Rattus norvegicus: one gene and its partners. The protein of the gene in region 1 interacts with the protein of each later gene in a biochemical or structural test. Links are inferred from orthologs where the notes say so. Each region holds a gene or a part of one and is shown in the gene's direction. Other genes may lie near its edges.

Region 1 (7,190 bases):
AGATGTAAACTAGAGTGTCTTAAATTTACATTTAAGGGGTTGGGGACTTAGCTCAGTGGTAGAGGCTTGCTAGGCAAGCGCAGGGCCCTGGGTCCTCAGCTCCTTGGGGGGTGGGGGGGAGATTTGCATTTAAATTGCATTTAAAGATAATAAAGAAGGCAGGGCCGGAGAGATGGCTTCCCAGTTAAGAATGCACAGTGCTGCCTAGGAAGTGCAAGGCCCTGGGTGGCCCTGGGTTCGGTCCCCAGCTCCGAAAAAAAAGAACCAAAAAAAAAAAAAGAATGCACAGTGCTCTCACAGGGGCTCTGAGTCTGTTTTTCACAGCAGCTCCAGGGAACCTGATCTCCTTTCTGGGCTCCCTGAGCACTTGCATTCGCAGGCCCACATACACAGACTTAAAAACCAGTGTTTGCGGGCTGGAGAGATGTCTCAGTGGTTAAGAGCACTGACTGCTCTTCCAGAGGTCCTGAGTTCAATTCCCAGCAACCACATGGTGGCTCACAACCATCTGTAATGGGATCCGATGCCCTCTTCTGGTGTGTCTGAAGACAGCTACAGTGTACTTATATATAATAAATGAATAAATCTTTAAAAAAAAACCAAAAAACAAAAAAACAGTGTTTTAGAGAACTAAGGCCGACAACACGGTCTAGCAGGAAGCCTGGTGGGTAAAGGTGACGGCCCCAAAGCCTGACAGCCTGAGTTCGATCCTCAGAACCCACAAAGTGGAAAGGGAGAACTGACTCTCAAAAACTGTCCTCTGCATATTACACCAGTGCTGTGGTGTGCGCATGCCTAAACACATAAGCACACAAAAATAAGTGAACCTCAAAAAATTAAAGAATTGGGCAAGAGGGGTTGGGGATTTAGCTCAGTGGTAGAGCACTTGCCTAGCAAGCACAAGGCCCTGGGTTCGGTCCCCAGCTCCGGAAAAAAAAAAAAAAAAGAAAGAAAGAAAGAAAAAGAAAAAAGAAAAAGAATTGGGGCAAGAGAAATGACTCCAGAGTTAAGAGCAGTTGTCGTATAGGCATAAGGACCAGATTGAACCCTTGCACCCACATAACAAGCCAGACAACCTCTAAATGCCCGTGGTCCCAGTTCCAAGACGGTAGAAACAGAAGACAGTTGAGGCTTGTTAGCGGAGTAGTCATGAAGAGATAAAGAGAATAGCAGGTACCCACCTCTGTGTTCATGTGCTGCATACACAGGCGCACTTGGGAGGCAGAACCCAGCGAATCTGAGGTCAAGGTCTGTAGAGCAAGTACCAGGATTACACAGAGGAGCCCTGTCTTGGAAAACCAAAAATAAACTAATTAGTTAATTAATTAGTTAATTCCCTTTAGGGATTGGAGGGATGGACCAGCAGTCAAGAGCAGTGGCTGCTGTTCCAGGAGATAGATTTCATTCCCAGCACACGGCCACTCACAACTGTCTGTAACTCCATTCTAGGGGATATGACTTTTATTTCCAGCCTCCACCATTTGGGTGCACAGACACACATGTGGGCAAAACACACATAAAATAACATTTTAAAACACTCCTCTAAGGGGCTGGAGTAGTGGTTCAGTGGTTAAGATCATTCACTCCTCTTGCAGAGAAAGTTCCCGGGTTCAGTTCCCAATACTCATATCAATTAGATCCCAATCACCTGAACTTCAGCTTCAGTGGCTCTGACATTCTGTCTGGATTCCATGGGCACTTGTACATGCATACATACAAGCAAGGGGTTCACACATATACACATAAAATCAATAAGTAAGCCCACATATAATACACACCCTTTAAGGGCTGGAAAGGCAGCCGTTAAAGAGCATGTCCTGCTTTTCCAAAGGACCCAAGTTTGGTTCCCAGATCCCACATTGGGACAGCTCACAACTTCCTGTAACTCCAGCTCCAAGGGATCTCACACATTTCTGGATTTCATGGACACCTGCACAGGAGCGTGCGCACGCAGACACACAAATATGAGAATAAAATACTTATTTTCAAAAACTGGGAAAAATTCTCTTTAAAAAGTAACAAGGGTTGGGGATTTAGCTCAGTGGTAGAGCGCTTGCCTACCAAGCGCAAGGCCCTGGGTTCAGTTCCCAGCTCCGAAAAAAAAAAGAAAAAAAAAAAAGTAACAAAGGGGGCTGGAGAGATGGCTCAGAGGTTAAGAGCACTGGCTGCTCTTCCAGAGGTCCTGAGTTTAATTCCCAGCAACCACATGGTGGCTCACAACCATCTATAATCAGGTCTGGTTCCCTCTTCTGTATACGTCAAGCAGAAAGCTGTATGACGTATACATAATAAATAAATGTTTTTTTAAAAAAATAAATAAAGGGGCTGGGGATTTAGCTCAGTGGTAGAGCGCTTACCTAGGAAGCGCAAGGCCCTGGGTTCGGTCCCCAGCTCCGAAAAAAAGAACCAAAAAAAATAAATAAATAAATAAAAAATAAAAAGTAACAAAGGGTTATAGGCATGGTAGCACGCACTGTAATCCCAGCACTTGAGGCAGGCCCAGCTTGGTGTACATTACTAGTCCCAGGCTAGCCGGAGCCAGTAAGTAAGTCTCTGTTACCAGTCAGGGGAGGGCTGTCTTTCTGCCTGTACCACTCGTGGTTCTTAGGGACAGAGACTGGTTCTCATAATTTGTTGTTACTGCCTTACTTAGCAGATGGAGTCGTAAGAAATAAGAACCCAGTGTAGCAATACAACATAGCACATATGTTTGAAGGATGTCCTTAACCTGTTAAGAATGGAGGCACAGCTCAGGTGTCAGTGCAGAAAGTACTTTAAAAGAAATGTTGTCACCGGGGTTGGGGATTTGGCTCAGTGGTAGAGCGCTTGCCTAGGAGGCGCAAGGTCCTGGGTTCGGTCCCCAGCCCCGGGGGAAAAAAAATGTCACCAAAGAGCCATTCAAGACTGTCTGGAACCAGCCTGCCCTCTTGTGTGTTGGCTCATGGCTGACGGAAGGGTGAGCAGAAGACCTTGTTGGGCTTCCGCTGTGCAGTGGTCACATCTCCCAGGATGTGTAATCTCCACAGAAGATGCCGGAGCTGCAGCCTCTACCTAACGTGTGGGTCCTGGGTGGGCCCAGGTCAAACCATCCTTCAGTTCTACCAAGCCACACAGATGTTTCTGTTGAGTTTCCAGGGTACAAAGTTTCTGCAATGTGAATTCTCAGTGATTTTGTTGACCTTTCCGGAAAGGGAACTTGAGTGTGTACAACTGGCCATGCCCAGCTGTGATCTTAGAATCAGCCAGGACCATATTCTGTATCTGTTGCAGACTAAAACGAACAAGAACGGCGGGAACCAGGAGGTTGAGATTGCCCACTGCCATAAGGGGCAGTACTTTGGAGAACTTGCCCTGGTGACCAACAAACCAAGAGCTGCTTCTGCTTATGCGGTTGGAGATGTCAAATGCTTAGGTAAGAAAATGTCTTTGTGAAGGGCTTACAAGGCCTGCCCCAACTTTAGGCAGTTAATGGTAGCTGGGGGAGGGAGGCATAATCCTAATTAAACTATCCTCCCCTTCCTCCCAAAAGAACATGACATCAGGAGAGCAGGATGGGAACCGGCTGGGAAGGGGGGTTGGGCAGCAGGTAGGGTGGGATGAACACGATCAAATCATACATGCATGGAGGCCGTAATAAAAACCATTATCATGTGTGGCTGAAATGTGCTAAAATGAAAAAAGAAAATTCTTTGTGCATTACTAATTTTTTTCTAATATACAAGGTTTTTTTGTTCGTTTTTCCTGTTATCAGCCTTGACTTATTCTGCTTACTCTCATTCAGATCTCGGTCTGGGTAGTTTGTGACTCAGTGCTCTTAACTGCCGAGCCATCTTCAGCAAAGCTTCTTCTTCTTCTTTTTTTTTTTTTTTTTTCTTGGCATTGAACTTTAAAACCTTGCACATTCTTTTCTTTTCTTTTCTTTTTTCTTTTTTTTTTTTCTTTTTTTTCAGAGCTGGGGACCGAACCCAGGGCCTTGCACTTGCTAGGCAAGTGCCCTACCACTGAATTAAATCCCCAACCCCTCACATTCTAAACACATGCTGGGCCACTAAATCTCTACCCCCAGCACCCTAGAAATCAATTCTGAGCAATGAATCCAGGTTGGGAGGCAGACAGGCCCATGGGCACACCGGCACACAATGGGCACACAGACACACAACAGGCACACAGGTACACAACAGGCACACAGGCCTGTGAAAGCAACAGTGATGGAGGCAGGTGGCCAGGCCTGTGGAGGAACAAGACAGGTGGTTGCTACTGTGCCCACCATTAGTCTTCAGCAGAGATGCAGTCCTGCTGTATTATGCAGAAGCACCTCTTTTCCCATGTGCCCAGGATTCTAAAATTCAGTCCTGTAACATGAGTGGGTAGTGTATTTAGGAAAAGGGTTACATGCAGGAAATTAAATTGTTAATGTAAACAAATCTTTCTCTCCCACCCCTCTTTTTTAACAATGCAGTCATGGATGTTCAAGCATTTGAGAGGCTTCTGGGCCCCTGCATGGACATCATGAAGAGGAACATCTCACATTACGAAGAACAGCTGGTGAAGATGTTTGGCTCCAACTTGGATCTGTTGGACCCCGGGCAGTAGATGTGATGAATCTCGGAGCCTTCTCAGTGTGATACCAAATCCTTCCAGTCAGCCACAAGAACACACCCAGAAAACAGACACGACAGAACTGCGCCTGCTGCTGTCTCTGCTGCTGCCATCGCTGTGGTAAAGGGCACTTAGAAGTCTTGAAAGATGGACAGAGGCTCTACCCACATCCACCTTCCACTTTGCTTCTGAACGCCGTCATTAGACCACTTATGTCACGATTACTCCAGCCCAGGTTTCACGTTTGGTTCAGAATGGCATGTCTCTCCAGCAATTTAAGTGCCTGATACAAAGTCCAAAGTGTAAACATCCTTTCCTCTCTTGCTGCTAATGTTGCTTCTGAAAGTTCTGAGGTCTGCAGAAACCTGTGGAATAACACTCCACAGTCCTTCTCAAGGGAGGAAGTGGTAGAGCCTTCAGTCTCCTCACTTGTCCTTTGAGAAGGTCCACAGTGTGTTCACAATTGCTGCTTTTCTCTCACAGTGGAAGGTGGTAGCAGTTATACTGGAGTTCTGTGCCCCAGGGGCCCTATACTTTTGCTGGAAGCTACACATTATATAGCTGTGTCCAAGCTCCGGAAAAGGCCCCCTTGAAGGCCCAGCAGGTCCCTAGGAGCAGACGGTACTCAGACTCGCTTAGCAGGAAACGTGGATCCAGCACTCTTGCCAGTGTAGCCAGGAAAGGTTATCTGGGTCAGGGTTTTTGTTGTTTGTTTTTAGTAAGTTTTTTGTTTGTTTAACCTCTGTGCCGTTTACATAAACAAATTGCTATCCATTTCTAAGGAGCCGGGGGTGGCCGTTTAGCTCAGCTGGTCAGAGCACGGTGCTGATAAGGAGCCAGGGTCTGGAAGTGTTATTGCTTTATCTGACCTAAGTACTTCCCTGAGTGGCCCCTGCCATGACCCTGTCCCTGGCTGATGGCAGAAACTACCCAGCCGGAGGTTGTGCTGCACAGAGAGCCCTTCCCTTGTAGCTTTATTACACAGCGTGGCTACTAATCCGCAGTTTTTAAACTCTTAAAAAAGAGGCTTTTTTTTTTTTTTTAAGGAAATTTTTTCTCTATTTAGAGAATTCACCTTGGATGTATTCATATACATGGAGTTTGTCCACTGACTCAGGCATTTGTCCTAAATATCTGTTTTCAAAACTTGTATCATTGGGGTAGGGGTTGGGTGCAGCTCAGTGGCAAAGCTCGTATATAGCACATGCAAGGCTCTGGGTTTGGTCTCCAGCACTATAATAGCCATGGAAGACAGGTTATCATGCATAAACATGGAATTACTGTGAAGGCCTTTCTAACTGTCTCGACTTTTGCCCTGGTCACTGTAGCCAAGAAATGTCCAGAGTAGATGGGTTGCCACAGTTTTGGGAATTAAGTCACTTTTTCTTGTGTTTCATGAAGCAAAAGCAGGACTCTTCAGACTGCTCTGAGTAGCCTACGTTACAGATCTGGGGTTTGTCCAGCTGTAACTACTGTGAAGCAGGCAGCTAGCACTGGAAAACCCTCATAGCAATCCCGAATCTTCCTAAGGTCCTTTTCTATGGTATCGCTTTATTAAATAAATCAGACCTTGTACTTTGACAGAATAATACCTGATTTCTTGCAAAGGTAAGAGGTGCAATGGGCTCCAGGAGTAGCCCAAAAGTCCAGCCCCAGACCTTACAAGGACTCTAAACCCTCACCCCACCCTCCATGCCAGCCTTGGTTAGGGTTGGCTGTGAATCTCATGCCAGAGTTATTCCTGTAGGCTGCTAGGGGTAGGCCTTCTTAGCCTGCCCTCACACTTCAGTCTTGGCTTCAGAGTCCTCCTTGTCACCCTCCTGCCTCACTGACGGCTGCTCTTTCACAGAGAAGGCACCAAGTCCAAGTTCTGTAACTACTGATTGAGTCTTCACTGCAGTGTGGCCCTGTGCCGGAGCACGTGTGGATGGGGGCATGGGAGAGGTACACGTGTCTGCAGGAGCTGGTGTGGCGATGAAAGGCGACTGTCACCACAGCACCAGGCCCTGACAGTATTCCAGTTCTCTTTGCAGCTTCAAGAATCAGGTGACAGCAGATTTTTCTCAAGGTTGCAGTGTTCTCCTTGTGCCAGGCAACTCCTACAGCAGATAGCTAGGCCTCCTGGGAGGAGTATCAAAAAAATTCCTTTGCTCTCCTCTCTTCTGAGGGTTGGGGCTTCCCTCCCTTTTCCCTGGCTTTGCTATTGACTTGGGATGACAGAGAATCCTCCTCAGAGCCTGGAGGTCCAACCGCAGTATTTCCCTTCCTTTCTGGCCCCAGCTTAGCCTACTCACGCTCTTCTCCCGGTTGAATTCTCTGCAGGACAGGCTCTTTAGGTCTTGTCCTCTGAGCTCATAATCTTATTAAAGAATTATTTGTTTCTGATCTAGAGTCTCAGAAATCAGCATTGAGCTTTTTCTTTCTTTGAGCAGTTTAGTAAGCAAATTCAGCAGCAAAGTGGCAAAAGCAAAACAAAACAAAAAACAACTAAAAAATCACAAGAGAAACCAACGCTCCAGTGGAGAGGTTCCGTCCACCCTGACTGCCCAGATTGGCTGCTTGTGGTGGCAGAGCCACTGCGTGCTGCTGGT
Region 2 (7,873 bases), on another chromosome or scaffold:
TAGTAAACTTAATACTGGAAGTCCTTGGAAATAAAATAAGATAAAGGACAGGTTAAACATATAGATATTGGGCAGTAAAAGAATCAGTAAATGCACATAGGCTTGCAATGTAAACCTAAAAGTACATGCTTAGAATTACACTAATTTAATCTTAATTCATCATATACAAGTCTTTGACTTCAAAGAACATGGCCATCAGGAAGGGGTAGAGGGACAAGAGAGGTCACTAGAAGAATGGATACAAAGTACCTTATATACACATATGTATAGAATTGCTTGGGAAAAGTAACATCAATGTGTAAAATTTACAACCTCATATTATTATTGAAAGATATTAACACTTGCATTATTATAATGGTACATCATGTTTTCACTATATCAGTATGTCTAAGGATTTAGTGTTATATCAATTTTCAATTCTCCTCAAACTAATCAGTTTTACTCACTCTAGTTCTGACAAGTTGCCTAGCAGTGTGTCTGCAGAATTTGACATTAGAAACCAGAATGTTAAAGGCAATTTTGAAGGATTGTAGACTGTTCCCAGAAACATGAACACACGCATGCACATGCGCAAACATGCCTGTACATACACATACAAACACAGAGTATAGAAGAAAGAGGTGTGGTTTAGAAGAAACTATATAACAAAGATACAGTAGCCACATAAAGATTGGTACAAGTCTGACACATAAGCCGATAGAGGAAGAGGTGGCCCAGAAACAGACCCGTTCTTATGAGAACCTGTGAACTAAGACAGGGTGGGCAGCCTAGAGCACAGGAAACTTTTCTATTATGACCCCAAACTGGCTGATTTTTAATGTGAGCATCAAGAAAAACATATTTGAAACTTATTTCCAATGTTTGTCTCAAGAATATCATGCTGATTACTAAAGTAATCCAATGATCACTAAATAGTATTTTTTATAAAGTGTATATGCAAAAAAAGTATCAGCATGTTTGAAAATTGCTTCCCTGGGACTCACTCCAACATGGAGTCCTTGAGACCAAAACTTTGTCCAATCTGTTTATCTTTCTAACTCAAGTGTCTGAAAACACTTCTTGACACAACTGTAAGCTTTTGAATCTATAAACTAACATATATGTCTACCAGGAGTGACAAGGTAAACCTTTTAACTAGCATATAAACAATGGAGAGTTTGATTGGAACAGCTTGAGATGGCTCAACTGTAGGCAATAGATTCCAAATGAAAGAGAAAGAAAACACAGAAGGGAAAGCTATGAGGAAAGGCTGGGCTATGAACCTAGAACTTGAGAGGCTAAAGTAACAAGATCTCAAATTCAAGTTATGGAGTAAGACCCTCTTTTCAAAAACACAAAAGAAACTTATGTGAGAACATCGAGTGAAGCCACTTTTAAATGTAGCAAATGGAAATTTTATTTGTATTATTTTCTTTGTTATGAATGAGAACAAAAACTATTTCCCCTTTATCTTAGTTAGGGTTTCCATTGCTGTAAAAAGATACCATGACCAAGGCAACGCTCATAAAAGACAATGTTTAATTGGGGCTGGCTTACTTGTTCTGAGGTTCAGTCCATCATCATCATGGTGGGAAGCTTCGAGGAAGGTATGGCACTAGTGGGAGGAGCTGAGAGTTCTATATCTTGTTACTAAGGCAAACAGGAGACTGGCTTCCAGGTAGCTAGGAGGAGACTAAGCCACTCCCATAGCGACACACTTCCTCCAACAAGGCCACATGTACTCCAATAAGGCTACACCTCCTAATAGTGCCACTCACTCCAATTGTCATGCATCTTCAAACCAACACACCCCATAAAACCAGTCCAGAATTAGAAGATCTCTCCACTCCTCCTTTCTATGTTGCAACCATCTGCAACTCAGATACTGTTCACTGCTTATATTACTTGCAATTACGAAAATCTTCATTCTTAAGTCATGAATGTGCCTCAAGCTCATCATGCTTTGTTCGCCAGATGCAGATTCCAGGGTTTTTCCCTCTAAAAGATAAAACAGAAAGTTTGAGTTCCTTAGAAAACAGGCTTTCTGGTTGAGTCAGCCAGACACAGAAATGACTGAACTCTAAACCAAAGTATGGTCTTGGAATTGACAGCCCCTGGGACTCTGTTAGAAGAACAACAATACCAACCAACCAGACCCCCCCAAAAAAGCTCCCCTTCCAGGGACTAAACCCCCATCCAAAGAATACACAGGAACAGACCCATGGTTTCAGCCATGCACATGTAGCAGAGGATGGCATCGTCTGGCATCGATAGAAGGAGAAGCCCTTGGTCCTCTGAAGGCTCAAGGCCCCAGAGTAAGGAAATGTCAGGGCACCGATGTGGGAATGGGTGGGTGGGAGGGGGAGCATCTTCATACAAGCAGGGGGAGGGGGGATGAGAAAGGGGTGAACTGGGAAAGGGGATAACATTTGAAATGTAAATACAAAAAATATCCAATGAAAAAAGAAATTTTGGATCTTGGCAAATGACAATACTACAGGCGTAGCGAGAGATAGTAAGATGTTGATCCCCCAAAATGTAAATAGAGGTGCTACGTGATCAAGAAATTTCACTCCTAGGTACTCATGCAAAAGGAGAAAAAAATCAAGCTGGATGTGTGGATGTATGGGTGTTGGAGTGTGTGTACCACTTGCAGCAGGAGAAGTTGATAGAGGAGATCCAACAATACCCCATAGAACACGTGGTATTTCTCACTTATAAATAAATTTCTCACTTATAAATTCATACTGTTATGAATTTAGCCGTGCAGTCGCCTCCCTGGAGAAGTTGATTTCATTTATTTAGGGCATATCCTCAAGTACGTATTTCTGGCTCACCTGTTGGCACTGAGCTTAACAATGGATATTGGAAATCATGCCAAAGCTGAAGCCGAAACAGACTGATGGACGTTCACTAGCTAGAAATTTCTCTGGCCACCAAAGCAAAACGAAGAAAGAAGTCTATGGGCTTGGAGTAAATATATGTAAGCCACACATCCAAACATTTAGGAGTTCGCATTTTTGGACACCGAACAAACAGAACCGTCAAACGCGCGATTATCAAATAGGCAAGACTATCTGAAGGAACATTCTTCTAAAGAGAATATAAAAATGGACAACGTGTGTATAACAAAAGAACTTGACATCACTAACCATCAAGGAAGTGTCAATCAAAACTCCATGTTTATTAGGATAGCTATTACCGAAACAGCGGGAGATATTGTGTTGGCTAAGGGTGTGGAGAAAAGAGAATGCTTGCACAGCATTGCAGACGATGGAAATTCCGGTCATTATGGAAAAAAGCATGCAACTTCCTCTAACACATTAAAACTTGATTTGTCATAGGACCCAGCTTTAGTCCTTTGCAAGTTCTGTCATCTGACAGACATCTAGACATCGAGGACCTTGGCTCAGCCGGAGCACTGACCTCCCGCTGCCCTTGTCTAAGGCCAGCAGGGGGTGCTGTGGACCGCGCAGAGTCGCACGAGAAAAGGAAGTGGCCGGACCAGGCTCGCCCCGTGTAGGGTGCACCCAGACTGTCCTGGGCCAGAAGCGCGCAGTAGGTTCCGGGTCCCGTGACTCGCATGACTGCATCGCCGGGTGCGCGGACCGAGGATCTGCCCTGTCCCCCTTGAGAGAGAAGTTCCCACGGCCGTGGCGCCCATGGCGGGCGAGAGACTCGGGCAACAGGGCGAAACGGCCACTGCGGTTCCGGAGACCCGAGAGCACCTCTTTAAGGTGCTGGTCATCGGCGAGCTCGGCGTGGGCAAGACAAGCATCATCAAGCGCTATGTGCACCAGCTCTTCTCCCAGAACTACCGCGCCACCATTGGCGTGGACTTCGCCCTCAAAGTCCTCAACTGGGACAGCAGGACGCTCGTGCGCTTGCAGCTGTGGGACATCGCTGGTAAGAGGGCAGTGTCCCAATATCACCAGACTCTCACTTCTCTCTGCCTCCCGGTTCTTGTCTGTCCTTGTCTCTGCCTGAGCTCTCAGCAGTTGCGCTTTTAAAAGTGGGCAAATAGAACAGGAGATGAGGGACACCTGGAGGAGCTTAAAGCGTCCTGAAAAGTTGACTTTCGGAGGCCTCTCTCTTACTGTACTTTTTAGTGACTAAAGGGCGTGCCTGAAGTTCCACTACCAGTTAGTGCAGCGGCTTTCAATCTTTGGGCCCCGACCTCATTTGCAAGGGTAGCCTATGATCTTAGGAGAGCACATATTTACATTATGATTCATAACAGTAGCAAAATTATAGTTATGAAATAGCAACGGAAATAATTTTATCACCACATACATGAGGAACTGTGTTAAAGGATGTCAGCTTTAAGAACCACTGCCTTAGTGGTACAACTAAAACCAACAAAGCCCCTTTACTTTTCAACCCTGCCCCGCCCCAACTTGACTTGGGTCTGTGCCTCTCTGAAGTAAGGGCTTTCTCTTTCCGGAGCCAAACTTATAATTTACTAAAAGGGTTTGGAGCTGTGGGTGAGTAAAACTTGGAACCTAGCCAAGCCTTTGTGAGGGGTAACTCCATTCCTCAAATTCCTCTCACTTGGGAGGCCTGGTGACCCTGGGGAAGGGTTGGGAAAGTTCTGAAACTTTCCCGATGCCTTCCCCTCACTAAGCCAATACTTAATGCCTTCTCGTGGGTACCTCCCTATCCCACAAATGCTGAATTGTTTTCTTTTGCTTTCAATTATTGCTCTGGAATGTAAGAACCATTGTCTTCGAGGGCTGATTTATGAATCCCCTGAATTCTAGCAGGTGTGGTAGGTGCCCATATGGGCGTTCAAGGAAAGGTGAACTTTAGTGAAGTTTAATAGAAGTGGCAAGCAGCAAAGGTTAACCTGCTCAATCACTGGGAACGGTCAGGAGCTCCGTCTGCCAAGCGTTTGAATGGGAGCTTGTTTAAGGCGGAGAACACCTTATGGTCCTTTCCACAGGGAGCATACCCCAAAGCCCCAGAGGGGTGTGGTTACACTACAGCTGGCAGTAGCCTAGAGGGACAGTGATTTCTGCCTGCCAGTTAGTAAGTGCTGTGTTCTTTTATAGTCACTCCACTGAGGAAGTGTTAAAGAATTTATAAACCTTATACTCGTTTGCCTAAGAGCAGAGTCTAACATGGGTAAGAAGAATGGATTTATGCATATCATTTATCAATTTCTCAAAGTTATTTCGCCTTCGGTTCAGCTTGTTTGATTTTTTTTTTGCCTCCTGCAACAACTAAGAATGTATTTCAAGTGTCACCCTTTAAAGGCAGAGGCTTCGTTGGCAACACTCGCTCCTACTGCCCAGAAAACTGGTGGGCATTCTGTTGCTTCTTGACATTGTCTCACATCCTGAAGGTTGCCTTACTGTGTGACCCTCACCAATGAGGATATCCTGTGCATCTCTTTCACAGAGGTGATTTGGAATCCCTGCTTGGAATGGCAGTTCAGTTTCTTCTATTATGTGCAAATTAGTAGGATATGAGCTATGTTAAATTATGTTTGGAGAGTTGAGGAAACAAAATCAGGGGTCCAGGGTGGTGATGGCCCCTGCTTTTAGCCCCAGAATTTGGGAGGCAGAAGCTGTTAGATCTCTGAGTTTGAGGTTAGCCTGGTCTACATAATGAGTTACAGGATAGCCAGGGCTATACAGAGAAACCCTGTTTCAAAAAATCTGAAAAGCAACCACCTCTTCTTTCTGTATATCACTTCTGCTCTTTGTATACCAACCCCACTGTTGAAACTACCAGGATGAGCCACTCCACCCAACTTCATCCTCGTTGAAAAGACACCGTAGCCTGGAGGGAGACAGAGCCCATTTGTCTGCTGTAATAACACATCCTTGTACCTTTGCCAAAATCTGACGTCTGAGCATTACTGGAAAGGAGAGAAACGTTTTACAGTCTGCAAACTGGATCTCTGGTGTTAGGTGTTGCTTTTTGACCAACAGGAACTCTTGTAGCATTTAGCAAATACAAAACTCCAAACAACAGAACCAGAGGAAAACTTAGGACATAACTAGACTATTAGGCTTTTCTCAGAGAGTCTGAATTTGAGGCAAGATGTCTTAATATGCAGGTATCAAGAGACACAAATAACTTGGGTTTGGGGTTGGAATTTGCAGAACTACACATGGCCTTGACTCTGCTTGATTTGAACTTTTGAGGGACTAGTGAATCCTTCTTAGCTCATACCATTTGAATGAGGGAGAAGTTGGGTAAAGAGCCCATGCCAGAACGCTCCCCGCAGGAATATTCCAAAATATTCTGTAAAGCATATGCTGTGTGCAACTTACAAGGTTGAATCATACTGACTTCCAGAAGATTAAAGTATTTCCTGGTTGCAAAACAAAAGTTGGAGCCAGCCACTAGCCATGACTCACTTGCTAGTTCCTCTTCAATGCCGTTGTCCTGGAGGTCGTAGAGGTGGACAGGGCCATAAAGAAATCTGCAATCAGAGAAGCTTTGAGAAGTATAATAAGCGAGAATTACAGAACGCTTTCTACAAATGCAGCCAAACAGGTTTGTGTAATCCCTTCAAATTAAAGACCATAGTAGTTTTCTGGTATATGGCTCAACAAAGTGTTTCTCATATCATTGAAGGAGCCCAAATTAGAGCATGCACCTCGTATTGTAGACTCGACCATTACCATTTCTTACTGCCTTCATCCCAACATTTCCAGTCATTTGCTCACGACATCTCATGCTTCTTTGCCCAGGAAGTTCAGAATTCCCACGGCAGACAGGTTTTCATTGGCTTCATTCTTTTTAAAAATGCATTTTGAAAGAATTTCTAAGCTGTGGACATTTCTGAGATGTGTTGAGCTGTTTCACTGGTACATGGCTACAAGAACACACCCTAAAGAAATAAATCGAAGCATTAATTATAGATGTGCGCCTGGCCTCAGGTAAACACTCACTAATGAAGCCTGCCAGTGAACTCTGTAGCCCAGGAATGAAGTGTTATTTTCAAATACGTTCTTGGAGACATTGCATCCGTTGTACATACATATGGGATGCTGGGTACTTTTTTTTTTTTAATCAGCTTTCCATATGGAACTTTCTCTTTCCATATAAACATGGGGGATGTCTTCTGAATGGCGAGACATGAGATCACGGAAACATTTTAGAATTCCATCCAAGTGTTCTCATCGAAAACCTTGGCCCTTTGACCCAGCAAGCCAGGCCTGGGTGGCTCCTTCAGTCTGATTTCTGAGGCAGAGATGGGGGAAAAAGCAACAACAGAATGTATACACAAAGATGTAGCTTTGTGCTTCCTATTTGTCTTTTTAACTGACAGATAGCCTGGCTTCTTTCCCACCCCATTCTTCCCCTAATAGATTGTATCTATACAGTTTACTTACACATCCTCTACCATGGCTTGTGGTAGCTTCCTGAGATCAATCTGAACGTGTTGTCCTTCCTATTCTAAGTATCTCTCACCAGAACCACCGGGGCCTTATTAACATCTACTGTCCGGAATATACACGGATTCTTTAGCATCTGTTCTGACAGTAGACTTGGCTTTATCTGACAAACGTGTCCATCCAAACCGGCTTAGTAGAAGAGTTTTTTTTTTTTTTTCATGCCTAAGTCTGGGGTCGGGCATGCCAGGACTGATGTACAATAGCATGAAATCTTCGTAGACAAAAACTGGCTTTCCACCACTCAGCTGTTCCAAGGATGTATTATTTGTTTCAGTGGTCCAGTAAAATGGGCCTGTCTCGGTTCAAAGGCAGCTAAGAAACATAAGACTCGTGATTCAAACTGGTCACAGAGCTCGCTCCAAAGCATTCTGTAAAGGGGAGCTGAGACTAATGTACCTACTGAGTCAGAATTGGAACCACTTGGAAGACTGTCATCCGTCAGGCACCGTGGGTGACTCTGATTTAGTCTAGAGCTGAGAGGC
Region 3 (7,701 bases), on another chromosome or scaffold:
TGAGTCAGAAAGTTTGGGTTGAAATCTTGATTTTGTTGCTGTGTGTGTGTATGACTAAGGGATGTGAGACAGGAAGACATTATAACAAGAGCGTTTGAGCTTGGAGGATTAGGACAAAGAGCTTTGCTTCATGCTAGGGATTAAGTGTTGGGGAGTTCTAGTTACTCATGTGCAGTTAGTTGTTCCCCAGCTCTTCTCATTGCCTTTTCTAGGAGTATTGGTTGCAGACACACGGGCCTGAGGCATAACCAAGTGCATTTTCTTTGTGAGGGAATTTGATGTAGCTCGGAGAGTGGGAGGGGCTCCTTTTTGTATACACATAAAGGAGACGGTTTATATTTACCATCCCTTGGAATACCTTTGTGGACTCTTCCAACAGAAATGGGAGGACATTTCTCAGAGACATGTCCTTGAGACTGGAGGGACTGCTAAGAGAAGACAGAACTTCACAAGGAGCAAGAGATGTAGCTTAGGGACTGGGGATTTAGCTCAGTGGTAGAGCGCTTGCCTAGGAAGCGCAAGGGCCTGGGTTCGATCCCCAGCTCCGGAAAAAAAGAACCAAAAAAAAAAAAAAAAAAAAAAAAAGAAAAGAAAAGAAAAAGAAATTCTAGGGGCTGGGGATTTAGCTCAGTGGCAGAGCGCTTGCCTAGGAAGCGCAAGGCCCTGGGTTCGGTCCCCAGCTCCGGAAAAAAGAACCAAAAAAAAAAAAAAAGAGATGTAGCTTAGTCAGTAGAGTGCTGGTCTACCTGCCAGGGGCTCTGGGTTTGATTCCCCAGCCAAGGCCACATAAACCAGGGTTGTCATGCACTTCTGTGACACCAGCACTCCAGAGGTAGAAATGTCAGGGGGAAGAAAAAAGGGGAGGAGAAAGAGGAGAAGGAAGAAGAGAAAGAAAAGGAAGAAGAGGAGAAGAAAGAAGGAAAAGGAGGAAGGGGAGGAAGAGGAAGAGGAAACTTTTAGGATTTGGTTATTTTCTTCCAAGTGGGTCCTGGAAATTGAACTCAGGTCTTCCTGCTTTGCCTTTACCCTCTGAGCCATCTCATCCCACCCACACACCTAGTTTTTAACTTGGGTGATGAGGATCTGAACTCAGGTCTTCACGCCTGTATAGCCTTACTGCTTGAAGCTATCTCTCCTATTTTTATCCCCCGTTCCACTCTCTGCTTTTTTTCCTCTTCTTAAAAATATCCCCCCTATGGGGTTGGGGATTTAGCTCAGTGGTAGAGCGCTTGCCTAGAAAGCGCAAGGCCCTGGGTTCGGTCCCCAGCTCCAAAAAAAAGAAAAAAAAATATCCCCCCTTTGAGCCAGGCCCGGCTACACAGAGCTGTAATCATAGAGCTAAGAAGACCAACATAAAAGAATCACAACTCAGAGGCCAGTCTGAGTTACCAGTAAAAAACCTACATGGAGCAAAGCAAAATTAAAAGAGCCTCAGATATGTGTGGAAGTGTGGTGTGTATTCCCCCTTTACACAATTTTTACATATGTGTATTCCCTACCCATTCTCCTTTGATCTCCAGACTTGCATATCCAACTCAGTTGCTATTTGAAAACCAAAACAAACCAAAACAACCAAAACAAAGTTAATGGGCCCCAAATAAACCAAATGCTGCTCGTTCACCAGCGCTCCCCATTCCTTAACCAACACAACAGGAGTGAGCCTCCCTCTACCTCTTTTTTTTTTTCTTTTCTTTTTTTCGGAGCTGGGGACCAAACCCAGGGCTAGGCAAGTGCTCTACCACTGAGCTAAATCCCCAACCCCCTCCCTCTACCTCTTACACCCCAGAGTCACTGAGCAATGATGGGCCATTAGTTCAGGCCAGTATCTCATCTCCAATGACAATGAGGTTTCTTGTTTGTTCCCTTCTGCCACGGTCAGTCACTAATCCACTATTATTTACAGAACAGGTATTATTGGACTTAAGTTTGACCGGCCGGGTGGTGGTGGAGAGAAGGCTTCATGGCAAGGGCACCATCAAATGTTCCAGAGGACCAGAATTCGGTTCCCAGCCTCCACATGGAGGCTTTAAACTGCTCTGTAACTCTAGTTCCACAGGATCCAACATCCTCTTCTGGCTTTCCCAAGCACCAGGCACTCGAGTGGTGAATGAATGTCTGTGTGTAGTCAACACTCATACGCATAAAAATAATCTTTAAAAACAATTTGGGGGGTTTACTTTGAGATAGGATCTCAACTTGGGTAGCCTGGGGTGACTTGAAATTGTGGTAATCTTCTTCCCTCAGCTTCCCAAGTGCTGCCTCAGGAAATAAATGAGTGAAACAGTAGATACATGAAATTATATTTACCACTCAGTAAGCATACAGTCTCCTTTTAAAACATAAATTCACATTTAATCACCAGTGAAGATTTTCCCAAGTAATGGTTCGTTCGTGGTATGGCATCTTTTCTATATTTTGTACAAAAATATGCGTTGAAAGTGCTATGTAATGCTAACACTCCGGGGAGGTGAAGGCAGGAGGATCAGGAGTTCAAGGTCAGCTTCGAACTTGACAGTTTGAGAGTTTGAGGCCGGTGTAGGTTACATGAGACACAATCTCAGAATATCAAAATAAACAAGAAACTAAAGTGCCTAGGTTTTAAGGATCAGAGCAGGGCTGGTTAGCAAGTGGAACCTCCTTCCTATCCAATTGTCTGATGATAGTTTTATTTTCTCATGTTGTTGGGAGGAGGCAGTGACTCATGGTGACCACTTCTTCGAAGGCAAACTTTGCAAAAACTCAAATCATTTAGAGAAAAGTCCTATCGACATCACTAAAGCTGCAAAAATGAGAAAGCAACTTGCCCTCGAGGGCTACACATTATCCATATTACTGATCAATTAATGGCCACCTAATATACTCGAAATGCTACGTTATACTAGCAAAGTTACGGGACAGCTCAATTCCTAGGTAAGAGGAACAATGTAACCTCGTCTCTCACCAGCCGCTCCTGCCTTTTCCATGGGACGCACCATCCCAAGGCAGGAACCTGCCTGATACCTCTCCGTCCCGGAGAAGAAGAGCTCTCAAGCGAGCCAAGTTCATTGTGCCTAGCGCTCAGACATGGGTAACCCACCCCAGCCCTTGTGGGACGTAGGATCATCTCCCACGCCTGCCGTGACTATAGTTACTCTCGCGAGAGCGCCAGCAAGGCGGGCCCGAGCGGCGCCGGGATATCAGCGGAGCGCTCCAGACCGCGCCCCTCTTGGCGCAGATAGGAGAGAGGCGCGCGCAAGTCGGGGGAGGGAGCGGCTGGTGGCGCGCACGCGCAGGAGAGCGAGCGGGCGAGGGGGGCACGCCAGGGGGCCGAGGGCGAGGGGCGGGGCCTTGCGTCGCGCCGCGGGCACGTCGTTGCGCGTCCTCAGTATTTAATGTCTCTGTGTTCGCCCGGCCTGGGCTAGCACGTGGGGGAGCGGCCGAAGCGCCTTGCAGCGCTGCGGGGCAGGGCCGCTGGGCTAGGTGGGGGGCCCGGGGGCGGTGGCGGGAGGACTGTGCGCCTAGACGGTCGCCCCGGAGCAGGTAAGTGACGGCTGGCGCGGGCATCCTCCTGCCGGGCCCGGAGGGAGAACGAGTTGGGGTGATGGGGAGCCTGGGGTGCAGGTGCAGAGGGCGACGCGTGCGTCAGGTACTCCGGCGACGGAGAGTCCTGTGCACGGCGCCTGCTGTCAAGCGGTCCGGTATGAGCCTTGGTGACCCGCGCGCCCCCCCTGCTCCTTCCCTGTCCGGCGATTTGCCCGCGGGCTGCTACTGACAGATCGCGTGCGCTGAGCCTGGGGCGCTGCTTTGAGCCGCTGCTTTCCCCTCCCATCCCCCTCATGTCACTGGCCTCTGGGATGGAGATGAGGGCGCAATTCCCCGGGCGCTTCGGTGAGCCTCAACTTTCCCGGTGCCGGCTCACCCTTCTGGGTAGCGAGCCCGAGCGCGTCCCACCCAAGGTCGTCCAGCCTCGCTAGCGTTTACTTTTCAAAGGTCGTGTGTACCCAGTTTGAGCATGGAGAGGAGGCAGCGGGGCTGTCTCTGCCCAGGACCCGGTGCCCAAGGCGGGAGAGGAGGTCCTTGGGAACCCCTGTACTTCCTAACTTCCTAACTGCTGGGCCCAGTTCACTCGCTCTGGGTTTGCCCGGCAGTGGCACAATTCCTGGATTCAGTGCCGCGAATTATTGGAGGACTGTTGCAGCGGGGAGAACGGGATGCGAGACAGGTCCCAAACCTTTTGGCGGTGAAGGGACCATAAGACCAATTAGGACCGGAGGTCGAGGGCTTGGGTGTCCGAAAGGGGATTAGAGTTTGTGGCCCCATAAGCGCGTCCCAAAAGGTGGAAGACCTCTAGCTAGAGGTGTCCGCTGACCTCTGGCGGGGGTGGGGAGGTCCAGGGTCACGTGTCGCCTTCCACCTTTCTTCCCGCCCCAGGACAGTGATCTGGAGGGACTTTGCAAGGGGTCATGGGGGGGGGGGACTTTGCCACGATTGTAGGTAAAAACCTGCGTGTAGAGAAGCCTCCGTACGCGTCAAGGAGCCTACATTCTGGTGTCAACTACTCCCTTGTCCTATCTTTTCCTGTTTCCTTTCTGCGGGTGGGAAGGTGCTAATAGTATTGGGCTGTGCAGAAGAGACTTCCGAGAAACCCTGTGTTAACCCGGACCTTTCTTCTCTGGGAAATGCCTCGAGCGACTAGTACCTTTCTACCCTTGGGCTGTGCTTAACACAAACCCGGTGGACTTCGCTCCAGGTGCGAGTGGAGGCTCCTCAAACCGGTAAGGTAGGGTGTATGTGTAGGGCAATTAGTGAGGTTAAACTGCCTATCTTTCTTTCCACTACTGAAGTTGAGGCTGCTTGGGGTTTAAATGTAACGCCTGCAGTGAAATCGGGGTTGCCGCACCTAGTGTAACCTTCTCTGTCGATTTGCTATTGCTTCCGGAAACCAATAATCAGACGCGCTCCTCTAAGTGCGAAATCCTTCCCCAATTAGTAACCTTGGGGTTTTTGGTTTTGTTTTAAACGCTTTAGAAAATCGAGGCTTAGATCCTTAGGGGTTCCTACCCGTTTCTCTCTTAAAGCCACAAAGCATCTATAAACTCGATGAAGGAGTCGCTCTCGAGTCAGAGTCTTCTCTGATTGGCATTTAAATGGCTCACCTTCAGATTATTTAGGAGTCTTGCAGAGCCCAAGGGTTAGGTTTTTGACAGCTTTTTGCTGTTGAGCTTTCTTTTACTTCTAACCTGTTTTGTAGGTTCTGGGTAATTCCTGGGTGTCGTCTTGTGAATGGCCTTGGGTTAGAGGACATTCTCCTACCCTATGGGCGTGTGTGCAAATCACTAAAGCTTCCGGTCAGTTTGCTAAATCAGAAGGCTTTGTTCTGTAGAGGGGGCCGGTGGGTGAGACCTGATGGAAATCTAGTGAGTTTGTCTACCCGGGGTTCTCCCATCTCCCAGATAATTGTAGGAGTCTCATTCTCACTTGACCACTGCAGGGTGACAGCAAAGATACACAGGTATCAGTTGTACGATGCCTGCTCAGATGCTGAAGGCAGTGTGTCAGGTTTGCAGAGCCTCAGTACTTTAAAGCAATCTGTCTTTGCTACCTTACCAGGTACCCAGATTATTTGTGGAGCTGGCCATAGCTAGTTTGCGGAATAAGGTAGTTTTAGCTTCCGGTTTTCCTTTTCTCATCCTAAACATGGATGGAGATTGGGACTATCCCTGGTATAGGGTAGGCACTTAAGTATGGCGTCCCTCACTCCCAAGGAATCCCTGTCAAATGTCTCTCGGTCATTTGATTAAATATAAAAGCACTCCCTCCCCTAGCCTCTGACCTAGTAACTTGGTTAGAAGGAAAAGGAAGACAAATTGGTTTACCCTCACTTTGCCACCTAGCCTCCTGGGTCAGCATGTCTTGATCGCACCGGCATTTTAAGGCATCGGAGCTCATGTGCCCGGGGAGCTGCCCTGTTTTCCCTGGCTACTCCTTCCTAATGTTCCTTGTGAGTTTGACATGCCTGGACCTCTCTGCGGCTCAGTTTTCTTTCCTGTCTGTAGGAAGTTTGTATCTGGCGTTTTTCTTTGAATAGTAATCCTAGGAACTTTATTATGGGGAGATGCCTGGGTTCTGTGGGCTCCATGTGCCATGGATATCATAATGTTTGAGAGTTACTAATCTCTACAGTGGGGTGTGTTAAGTCCTAAATCTGGCTTCATAGGGCAAATTCTGTTTCTCCTTCCTGGTGTAGTCAGTCTCTCTCAAGCACTTGGGATTGGACATAGGCTTATGCATGGTAAGTTCTGGACAGTTGACCTTTAGGTCCAGAGTGCCCCTCCCCCCTTTTGAGACAGGAGTCAGGCTATGTAAATGAGGCCAGCCTAAACTTGCAGCCCTCCTGTCCACCCTTCCAAGTGCTGGGATTTCGAGCACACACCATCCTTGCTAACCTTCTTGTCATTGACTTTGTTGTCCTCTTCCAGATGGTGCATGACATTGGGGAGGGTATGGAGGAGTGTTGCTGCCATGCCGGGACAATTTGAGGTTTTTTTTGGGTTCAGCAACATCATTCTGTCCAAGCCCTTGCTGTTCGGATGCTCCTACAGTTCATGTTAATAAGCATTTTGTTCCCTGTGGCTTGTGTTACTTAGCTTTGTCATTGAGGCCCAGAGAAGCAAAGCAAAGCAAGGGGGTTAGTTCTAGAGGAAGGAGAAGCCTGCAGTGCTCAGGACAGAGGAGGCCTGTTACTGCTGGCCTTAACTCTAAAGAGGTCAGGGCTTGCTGTGTCTCTCCAACCTCCTGCCAGCTGATTGGCCATCCAGGGTCTGTTTTTTTTTGTTTTTTTGTTTTTTTGTTTTTTTTCAATTGGTAAAGGAGAGTTGGTGAACTGAAGGTGTTCAAAGTGTTCTGATTGGAGAGCAGGTCAAGGCTTGGGCTTATACCTGTAAAGAATTCTGACTCTGCTCTGGGACTCAGGGCAAGCTACCTGGTGGGGCTGCTGGAGGAATATGGTTGCCTGCCACCCTGGGGAGTCAACATTTCATTACCATAAGGAGTTTGGATTGTGTGAGTCTAGAATATTCTTTGTCCTACTCTAAAACCTTAATGGCCTCAACCTGTGAATGTCTGAAAAGCACTGTGTGTTTGGGTTTTATTCATTTGTAGTTCACAAACAGAACTACCCTTTGGTCACTAGAGGTTCTCTTTCCATGGCATGCTAAGAAAGAAGCAAGTTCTGGTCTACAGCGAGGAGGGGGATGAGAGGGATGGGTTTCTAGGAAATAGGCTGAGGAATGAACTTACTGAGAGGTCTGGGGGACCCGAGTATGAAGTGGAGCAGCCAGAGCTGAGCCTCTCGGTTGAGCCACCTTGGTTTGAGAACTTACCTGGGGTCTGTGTTCATTGTTTTTGGTCTGCCTATGTCATATCACCAGACCCGATAGCTTCCAAAGGACCTCAGTATGATACCTCTCTGTTAAACCAGTGTGACTTTTCATTCTGTGTCAGTAATTTTTTTTTTTTGAGGCAGGGTCTGCTTGTGTATCTTAGGCATGTACGATATACCGCCAGGTGACCTCAGGTCATTCTGTCAGAACCTTGCAAGTGCTGGGGTTACAGACATGAGCTACTGTGTCCCATTTCCCAGCAGCCTGTCTTAATGTTAGGAGGTGTCCTTTACAGAAGGCAGTGGGACAAGGGTGTCACGGTGTAGATCCCGTAATGTTG

What was found.
Region 2: the proteins of Prkar2a (region 1) and Rab32 interact in a test that uses a peptide from one of them, tested with the Homo sapiens proteins (2 studies listed by BioGRID, with this or other methods). The link is inferred for Rattus norvegicus from reciprocal best matches to the Homo sapiens genes PRKAR2A and RAB32.
Region 3: the proteins of Prkar2a (region 1) and Akap1 form a complex in vitro, tested with the Homo sapiens proteins (2 studies listed by BioGRID, with this or other methods). The link is inferred for Rattus norvegicus from reciprocal best matches to the Homo sapiens genes PRKAR2A and AKAP1.

The regions. Positions count from the first base shown.
Region 1 is NC_086026.1:118,329,315-118,336,504, forward strand, and holds part of Prkar2a (cAMP-dependent protein kinase type II-alpha regulatory subunit), read left to right. Parts: intron 1-3,270; coding exon 3,271-3,412; intron 3,413-4,459; coding exon 4,460-4,593; 3' UTR 4,594-7,190. UniProt on the Homo sapiens protein: Regulatory subunit of the cAMP-dependent protein kinases involved in cAMP signaling in cells. Type II regulatory chains mediate membrane association by binding to anchoring proteins, including the MAP2 kinase.
Region 2 is NC_086019.1:6,776,884-6,784,756, reverse strand, and holds the start of Rab32 (ras-related protein Rab-32), read left to right. Parts: upstream 1-3,498; 5' UTR 3,499-3,641; coding exon 3,642-3,885; intron 3,886-7,873. UniProt on the Homo sapiens protein: The small GTPases Rab are key regulators of intracellular membrane trafficking, from the formation of transport vesicles to their fusion with membranes.
Region 3 is NC_086028.1:74,146,992-74,154,692, reverse strand, and holds the start of Akap1 (A-kinase anchor protein 1, mitochondrial), read left to right. Parts: upstream 1-3,326; 5' UTR 3,327-3,519; intron 3,520-7,701.